Linked DNA regions of Coturnix japonica. Each later gene encodes a partner of the first gene's protein in a complex. Links are inferred from orthologs where the notes say so. Each region holds a gene or a part of one and is shown in the gene's direction. Other genes may lie near its edges.

What was found.
Region 2: the proteins of PRKAA2 (region 1) and PRKAB1 are in contact, whole or in part, in a crystal structure (PDB 8BIK), measured with the Homo sapiens proteins. The link is inferred for Coturnix japonica from reciprocal best matches to the Homo sapiens genes PRKAA2 and PRKAB1. Residues at the interface, in NP_006243.2 of Homo sapiens: Gly9, Val11, Lys12, Ile13, Thr21, Lys29, Lys31, Asn48, Arg49, Arg53, Asp56, Val58, Ile61, Lys62, Ile65, Gln66, Lys69, Val82, Ile83, Ser84, Thr85, Pro86, Thr87, Asp88, Phe89, Phe90, Met134, Met164, Ser165, Asp166; in NP_006244.2 of Homo sapiens: Pro79, Thr80, Val81, Arg83, Thr106, Ser108, Asn111, Val113, Ile115, Gln154, Val155, Asp159, Phe160, Glu161, Val162, Phe163, Ala165, Leu166, Asp169, Ser170, Lys172, Cys173, Pro186, Tyr187, His188, Gln189, Glu190, Pro191, Tyr192, Ala202.

The regions. Positions count from the first base shown.
Region 1 is NC_029523.1:23,047,389-23,051,258, forward strand, and holds part of PRKAA2 (5'-AMP-activated protein kinase catalytic subunit alpha-2), read left to right. Parts: intron 1-223; coding exon 224-311; intron 312-1,843; coding exon of another isoform or gene 1,844-1,892; exon of another isoform or gene 1,893-2,439; intron 2,440-2,455; coding exon 2,456-2,680; intron 2,681-3,870. UniProt on the Homo sapiens protein: Catalytic subunit of AMP-activated protein kinase (AMPK), an energy sensor protein kinase that plays a key role in regulating cellular energy metabolism.
Region 2 is NC_029530.1:8,559,409-8,564,062, reverse strand, and holds the start of PRKAB1 (5'-AMP-activated protein kinase subunit beta-1), read left to right. Parts: upstream 1-1,592; 5' UTR 1,593-1,741; intron 1,742-1,853; 5' UTR 1,854-1,863; coding exon 1,864-2,028; intron 2,029-2,616; coding exon 2,617-2,783; intron 2,784-3,244; coding exon 3,245-3,338; intron 3,339-3,848; coding exon 3,849-3,963; intron 3,964-4,243; coding exon 4,244-4,377; intron 4,378-4,654. UniProt on the Homo sapiens protein: Non-catalytic subunit of AMP-activated protein kinase (AMPK), an energy sensor protein kinase that plays a key role in regulating cellular energy metabolism.

The DNA.
Region 1 (3,870 bases):
TCTCTCTTTTCTTCTATGGTAGAGAAGAAAGGTTCTGAGGTTTGCAACTCAGAGAAGCAAAGTTAGCTCGGAGTCAGTAATACTAGTTTGGAAAGAAAATGAGAGCTGTAATTGCAAAGTGGTTCAAAGGTGTCTACTTAGATTACATCAGATTTCCCCCTCTGCTTGCTGTATCTCTTCTCCCTGTCTGGATGTCAATACGTAGCCAACACCTTGTTTTTAGGATTGTCCAACATGATGTCTGATGGTGAATTTCTACGCACCAGCTGCGGTTCCCCAAATTATGCAGCCCCTGAAGTCATCTCTGGAAGGTAGGACATGCCACTTCCAATCATGTGAGTATGTGGTCTTTAAATTTGCTCTTGGGATTGGAACCAGCTTGTAATAAAGCAGCTGAGTGGTTCCAGCCGGTGTTTTGTGCCTGGGTGAGTCTGCTGGAAATATCTGAAGGTCTTCTTGCTCGTTGTATTTCTCAATGTCTGTACTAGCAAAACATGTTTTGCTAAAGATGTTTACTTTGGAGGAATTATTAACAGCAGATGTTTACTGTGTACATTGCTAATTAAAGGGAATGAAAATTACTCTTTGGATGCAGTCACTGAGGTTTCAGAAAGATAGGCTTTTCCAGGCCACCCCTTTCTCTCCTGCCCACCTATGTAAAACACAGTGTTAATGAGAAAACCACTCATTAAGCGAGCAATCAATATTCTGCTTAATCACTTCCCTACACTGCTAGACCCTTGTATTGAAAATCCTTGTCTTTGGGTCCCTTAACTCTCAGGCTTATGTTCATGCCAGCGGGTTCAGTGGTGGTAGCTTTGTCTTGAACTGATGAATTGAACTGACAGAACTGCAGAGCAGTGGCATCTCTCAGCTGTGTCCTGACTGGCTGCAGCAGCTGTTTGGAACAGGGCATTCTGAACACAGGCTCTAGGGCTGAATTCAGTCTTGCCCCATTGATACGGTCATGCCACTTCCCATGTTTTACTGTTGAGAACCTGAATTACGTTGAATTCCCTAATTCTCCTCTGTAAAAGCATAATGCAGTTTACAAATACAGATCTTTGAATTTACAGTCCTCTGCGTGTTCCTTTGGACTGCCCATAACCTTAGCATCCACTCCATCCTTTTGAACCATCCTTTGCATGAGAGCTACTTTTCATAATCTGGTATGTCTCTGCCTATAGCTTTCAAACCCAACCTTTTGTTTAATGTTGTGATGATGACTGTTTTATGCCTGTTTACACAGGCGCGTGTGTTGGCAGAGTATCCTAGGAACTAGACCAGCATCCAAAAAGCCTGTTGTGACTATGGTTCTACATATGAAAGCAAGTAAATCCTCATTTTCAAGAGGGGCACAAAGCCAGAAACTCGACAGTGATTCAAAAAAATATTATTCCCATATTTTTTTTTGTAATAAAGGCCAAAACCACATATATATTTTTTTCAGTTCATATAGGAGACAGAGAGGAACAACCTGCCATTTCCACCAGGGGTGAATGTGCTGCTGGAGGTGGATATAGCTGAGCTCCTCCCAGAGACGGTGCACTATGTGAGACCTTGTGTTTCAGCATCATGAAAGTGAACCTCATTTGGGTTTAAAAGTCCAAGCACGGTTCAAACAATGTGGCTATCAGCCAAAAAATAGACATCCTGTCTGTTGGAATCAGACATAGACTGTGGGGACTTGGAGCCGATTGCATTAGCGGAATGCCCTGACTTTGCTGCTGTCACTGTTCTCCATGGGAGAAGTCTCAAGCATGAGCTCAGAAATGGTATTTTGTTACCTGGGTAGCATTCATAGAATGACAGTGTGCATGGCTGGTTCTTTTTTTTATACCAGGTGTGTCTACAGCAGAACTTTTCAAGAGGAGCAAGTGCAGGACGATTAGGTTTCATGAACAGACCTCTGTATTGGATTTTACAGTCCAAGAGTAGTCACTGACTCCCAGAATCTCTGAGAAATCAGCAGTTTCAGCAAAAACCAATGAACAAACAAATCAAGCAGGCAAGCAGCAGCAGCAAAACCCATATATTTGGGGTATCCTGACTTGGTGATGCCAGGAAGCACATTAACAGCTTGTCGGAAGCTGGAGCTCTTGCATACCAGCACACAAACTTCAACTGAAAATAAACACTCAAGAGATATAGTATCTGCTGCTGTTTAATCTGCTTCTGAGTGAATAGAAACTGCTGGCTGAGTCCCCCAGCCTCGGGGGCAAGGAAGCAAGCAGCCTGGCAGAGCTCCTGGAAATGTAGATTTGGGCTTTTTGTTGGGTCTGGTGGAGTTGCTCATATTCCTGTTTCATGCATCACGAAGGAGCGTGATCAACTAAAAGCAGCTCTGCGTCATTCCCCATCACCCTCGAGTAGGTTTTTGGCTTAGGCAGCCCAAGGATGCAGAGAGGAATAGAGGAAGGGTTGTGACCCATTTCTCCTCCTCTGCTTCACACAGGCTGTATGCTGGCCCAGAGGTGGACATCTGGAGCTGCGGTGTCATCCTCTATGCCCTCCTCTGTGGCACTTTGCCCTTTGATGATGAGCACGTGCCCACCCTCTTCAAGAAGATCCGGGGAGGTGTGTTTTACATCCCCGAGTACCTCAATCGCTCCGTTGCCACTCTGCTCATGCACATGCTGCAGGTTGACCCTCTCAAGCGTGCAACCATCAAGGACATCAGGTCAGCCCACAGCGTGGTTTGTAGGAGTTGCCAGTTAATCCAGCTGAGTTTGGTCCTAAGGGATTTAAGGAGCCCGCCTGAACTCTTCTGTGCCAATGGTGAGGCAAGTGCTGCCAGCTGGTGGTGGGTGATGATGAATGTGGGATTGGCGACTTCATTTCTCAGTGGCTTCACTAATTCAAGTGAAAATAGGCAATAGGTAGCTTCCTGCAACTTATATACAGATAATTCTATCTTCATACATTATAAAATAGCCTCAAAAATCTCTTAGTAGTGCTTAACATAACCAGCTCTCACACAGTATTCCTAAGAACTCTATATTGGCCAGCTATTTTTCAGTACTTTATTTCAAGCACATCTCTCTTTGGTAGCTGTTTAGAATAAAAGTGTTGTCATTGCACTTGCTGTCTATTCGATAAAAAAGGAAGTGGAACACAAGAATTACTAGCTAAAATGTTAGTCACAGTTTAAAATGTCAGCAAATGTCCTTAAATGAGGCATTTCTTCTGTAGTCAATGGCTGTACTACCCATGAAAGGGAACAATTGGGCACTTAAGTAGGCATTTGTGCCTTCAGATATCGTGACATGTTTGTAACTGGCAACAGGGCTTTGAATGTTTCACAAACTGAGTAATTTTTTAAATATTTATCTTGTGAAAGTGGAGTCCCATATGTATTTTGTGGAATTTATAGTAGCCATTACTATAACATGCTTTAGCAGAGGGTTGGGCTGGATCATCTCCAGAGCTCCCTTCCAACTTCTATGGTTCTGTGATTACATGTAGCTGGTGTGCTAAGCATATGCATAAACATCACAAGTACTTACAGGACATAATGGATTGTTAATACTTTTGCAATTGATGGCCTGAATTTAACCATTCAAATAGGATCTGAACTATAAATGCCTTTTAAACTTCACGAGTCCTGAAGAGTAGGAGATTTAATTGTATGTTAGAGCAACAGCATGCATGCCAAGATTACCATTGATAGGTGGCACCTATAGCTGAGGCTTGCACTGGCATTTACCTGCTTAATTACCATTGACTTCATTGTGAACTGGTGGGAGTAGTGGGCCTGGCTAGCTTTGAAATATAAGAAGGACATAGGGATATTAGAAAGCATCCAAAGGAAGGCTGCAAAGATGGTGAAGGGTCTGGGGGGAAAGGTGTATGCAGAGTGTCTGAGGCCCT
Region 2 (4,654 bases), on another chromosome or scaffold:
GAGAGGGATTGCTCAAGCAATCTAAAGCTGGAGGAACAAGCCCAGGAGGCCAAGGTAGAACACAAGGTTATAGGAATTGAATGGGGAGGTTTCTGCAGTTTATGTTTTCCCTGTCTTGAGCTCCAGGATAAATCCTGCTGCTGCTCCCAGCTGACTCACTTGTCTCTGTAGCACAGAAGCTGCAAGGAGCACTTGCTCGTATATCCTTTATAATGTGATCTGTGTCATGTCTGAATTTGATCTGCTGGCTCATGACTGAGGATGGCTCTTCTGTTTCTATCATATCTATCTAGAGGGCTGAGTCAGCTTCCACTTAGCTTGCAGCTACTTCTCTTTGGCCAGATAAGCTGGTGTCATGTCAGATACCAACGGATACATCAGGATTTTAAAACGCACAGTCCAAGATATTTGGCCACTACACTTCATTTTTCAACACATTTCAGGCAAGAGAAGGGGCAGCTCCAATGACATTAAGGGATGCACACCAGAGCAGGCAGTGGGGTGGTGCTGAACCATGGCAGCCACATCTATAGGCATCTCAACCAGAGTTCAGCCACTTTGGGTTTCAACCAACTCCAGGAGAGCATCCAAACAGGTCAAATGGGATTCTGACCTGCAGAAGATTCAGTGGGTGGGTGAGCTCTGCCAGGCCATCGTGGCATGTCCCACATCTCCTTTAGGAACAGCTGTGAGCGAGCCGGGCTCTGCTTCAGGCTGATAGGAGGAAATGATACCGCAGTGCATGTGATGACCACGCATCCGTGTCCACTGCCTCCATCCTGTCCAAGGCCAGGAGCTCCCAAAGGCTTTGGAGTGACGCTGCGTGGTGAGCAACCATTCTGTCTTTATACCAAAGCTTTACATTGAGAGAAGCTTGGACTTTCCTTACCCAACAGCCCCGTGGGTTATCAGCAGCCCTTATTCTGCAGTGTTATCAGTTTGTGGTTTTTGTATATAACAAAACCGTTGTAAAGCAGACAAGGTGAGCCCTAAAGTAGAGATGCTGCTGCTTGCAGCTCATCTGGCTCTGCAGGCTGTCACAGCGGCTCCCCAACGGGCAAGACAAGGTGCTGTGTACCTCCAATGTGTGCGCATTGGTGGCAGGGGACACAAAACCATCGGGTCTGCAGGCAAAGAACATGAGAGAGCTAACCTGTGTTAAGTGTCAAAACAACAGCTGCATTCTACAGCAGCATAAGGGCACTGTGGGAGCTGGGGAAGCTCTAACAACCCCTGTGATGTGTGTGATGTGTGTGATGTGTGCTCAGGGCGCTCTGCCCATGGAAGACAAACGAGCAGCAGCTGCTCCTCCGGGAGCAGGAGCCAGCACCGGGAATCTGCCCATCCCAGCACAATTCTGCCTCCACGTCCCGGCGTGCACAAGGATCCGATAGAGACAGAGCCCTTCTGGCCGGTCACTTAACAGCGCTCCAGTTTCCACCTCCCATCGCAGCCATCACCTCCCCCGCCCGCACAGCAGCTCCCAGCACAGTCTGAACGTATTTCCGACGTGGGGCGGCGCTTCCTTGTTTCTCATCCCCGAGTAAATCCGGAACCCGGGGCCGGCTGCTGCCCGGGGCGGCCATGCGGGGCACACGGAAGCGGAAGGGGCGGGGGGCTGCCGGGCTCCGTATCGCTCCGTATCGCTCCGTGTTATTCGTGGCCGCTGCCGGTCGTTTGCACGGGCCGCTCGCGTTGTCTGCTCTGAGTGTGATGCGATTCTCAGCTGCTCGGACGTTGGGTAAGTGGCGTTCATTGGTGTTCAGCTCACAGCCCGGGATGGTGTTGTTTTCTTTGCTTCGTGGTTATGTGGCTGCAGGTACTAAAGGTTAAACTGGCTTCTGCTCTTTTAGGGCCTTAAATATGGGGAACACAAGCAGTGAGAGAGCCGGGCTGGAGCGCCATGGGCACAAAGCAGCGCGGGGTGATGGGGCGGGAGGAGCCGGCGGCTCCAAGGATGGGGACAGACCCAAGATCTTAATGGACAGCCCTGAAGATGCGGACCTGTTCCATTCGGAGGAGATGAAGGTATGGCTGCATTCAGACGGGACCGCTTGGCAATGCTGGGGCTCCCTTAGAGCTTTACCCATTTACCCACCGCTCCCCATCTTCCTTCCCATCCTCTTGCAGCCACCCGTGTTGTTTCATCTGGTATTTTCCATACTAAAAGATCCCTTGGCTGCTTTTTTTGCTCATTATGAGGGGGATTGCTGGTACCTTTGCTCTGTGTTATGTGTCCCATGAGGATACCTGTCCTGTAGGCAGCTTGTAGCCTTTCAGGATCTAACCACAAGTTTTATGCCTACCCCAATCTTGCTGCTCCTGAAGTGTCTTTCCCCTTAACTATTCTTTTTCTCCTTATTAATATCGGTGTGTTTTGAAAGCTCCCATGAGCTCAAGTCATTTGTTTTTTACGTTGCCATCCATTCTTTCTATAGATTTGGAAGGCTTTAGCGTCTTTGCAGGATTCTTGCCACTGAGCAGCACGTAGAAGGGCCACTGTCTCATCTTAGCATGTCTTGCCAAATTGCACCTAAGCACAGAATTAAATGGAGTGAAATGCAAGCTAAGGCTGCAAAGAGGGGACTTGTATTGATCAGGATGTTGTGCTCGTAGGCGCCATTGGATAAAGAAGAGTTCCTAGCTTGGCAACAGGACCTGGAAGTGAGTGACAAAACCCCCACTCAAGCTCGACCGACTGTCTTTCGCTGGACCGGAGGAGGGAAGGAAGTGTATTTATCTGGGTCCTTCAACAACTGGAGTAAAATCCCTTTGACGAGGAGGTAATAGACTTCTGCAGGGTCGGTGGTGTTCCCTATGGACTGGGAATTCAGTGAGGGAAATGTGCTTGTATTTAGGAATTGCATATGCTGAAGTATCAGAGCTCACTGTGCTCCTTACTTGAGAAGTGAAGAGACACAGTGGCATCAGTGCCCCGTCTGAGTTTGTATGGGAACTGTTGGATCATGGCCTGAAGCACTGATGGAGCACCTGGGGAAAGGACCCGGTCAGCCCTAGCAGCACAGGTGAAGGCAGTTCAGCTGTGTGATAGGAAGGGCTGGAGCCTGGCTGTGCTTCTCTTAGACCTCATTGAAGGGCTGACTGCCACTGGGGGAGGGTCTCTGGTTGCATTGTTAAAGTTTTTGCATATTAAGATGGTTCTGTGTTATGATGTGTGTCACAGTGTGTAGATGGATTCACTTCTCCAAGTGTTTCAGGGGTGACTGTTTGTCTTCAATTCCAGTCACAACAACTTTGTGGCAATCCTGGACCTGCCAGAAGGAGAGCACCAGTACAAGTTCTTTGTGGACGGGCAGTGGACACACGATCCTTCAGAGGTAGTATTTTCTTCAGTGCACTGTATTTCTTCCTTGAGGTATGTGAAGAGGAGAAACTGGTTGATTTCTGTACCAGCAGATGGTTTTTGTTTATTAACAATAGAAACAGATGAGGCTGGTGAGAGACATGGTGATCCCTGTGGGTGATGCCCGAGGACAGGAGGCTTTGTAACAAATAGGTGTTGAGATCTGTTGGCTCTTCATATAAAGAGATGCCAAACTGTCTTATAAGGCACTACAGCATTGCTGACAGCCCACATCCCCCTGTGCTGCGCTTGCTGTCTGTGCCCAACTCACGTGGACTTAGTGAGCTCGATTGACTAGAGTCCCTCCCCAGCCCTAAATACTGCACCAGACCCTTAACTGAACAATAACTGCATTGATTACCTCATTCCCCACCGGTACCAGCCTGTTTTCAAAGCAAAGTAACTCATTTGTGCTGGTTGTTTAGTTTTGAGAATCCTAATAGCCTGCAAGTGTTTTTATTTTGCCTTCTGTATCTTTTCCCAGCCTGTTGTAACCAGCCAGCTGGGGACTGTCAACAACATCATCCAGGTGAAGAAAACTGACTTTGAAGTGTTTGATGCTTTGATGGTGGACTCCCAGAAGTGTTCGGACATGTCTGGTATGAGCTTGTTAGCAGTTGGGTATCATATGTGGTAAGCACTCAGCCTCCAAGACCTGTGTAGTTAGTGTGAAGGCAGGCAGACTTTGGGTATCTTAAATCACTTACTGGGTGGTGACTGATCCTGCGGTATTGCATCAGCTGCTGCAGCTCAGGTACTTAGAGGCCATGCATTTCTTTTATTCTCTTGTTCCTGGATATGAGAACTCGCTTGGAGTACTGGAAAACACAGGTGTAAAGAGCAGATGTTCTTACAGGCTATTTCCCATCTCTTTGGCAGAGCTGTCAAGCTCACCTCCAGGACCGTACCACCAGGAGCCTTATGTCTGTAAGGCAGAGGAGCGCTTTAAATCTCCACCCATTCTTCCCCCACACCTGCTGCAGGTCATCCTGAACAAGGACACAGGCATTTCTGTGAGTACATCAGCCTGTTTGCTGGATAAGGGCCATGATGTTGGGAATGGATGTGGGAAGATTGGGGTGCAGACAGGGAGCACTCAGGGAAGAGCCTTAGAATAGTTGCCATGTTGTAAAAGCCCCTATTTGACACAGGGAATTTCATGGATCCAGATGGGTCCACCTGAAACAGCTTCTTCAGAATTGAAAAGAGAGCTGGATCGCTGTTTTACAGCCAGAACCCTCAATCTTTGAACATTTAAAAGGTCAGAAGCACATAAGAAGGAACTGAGAT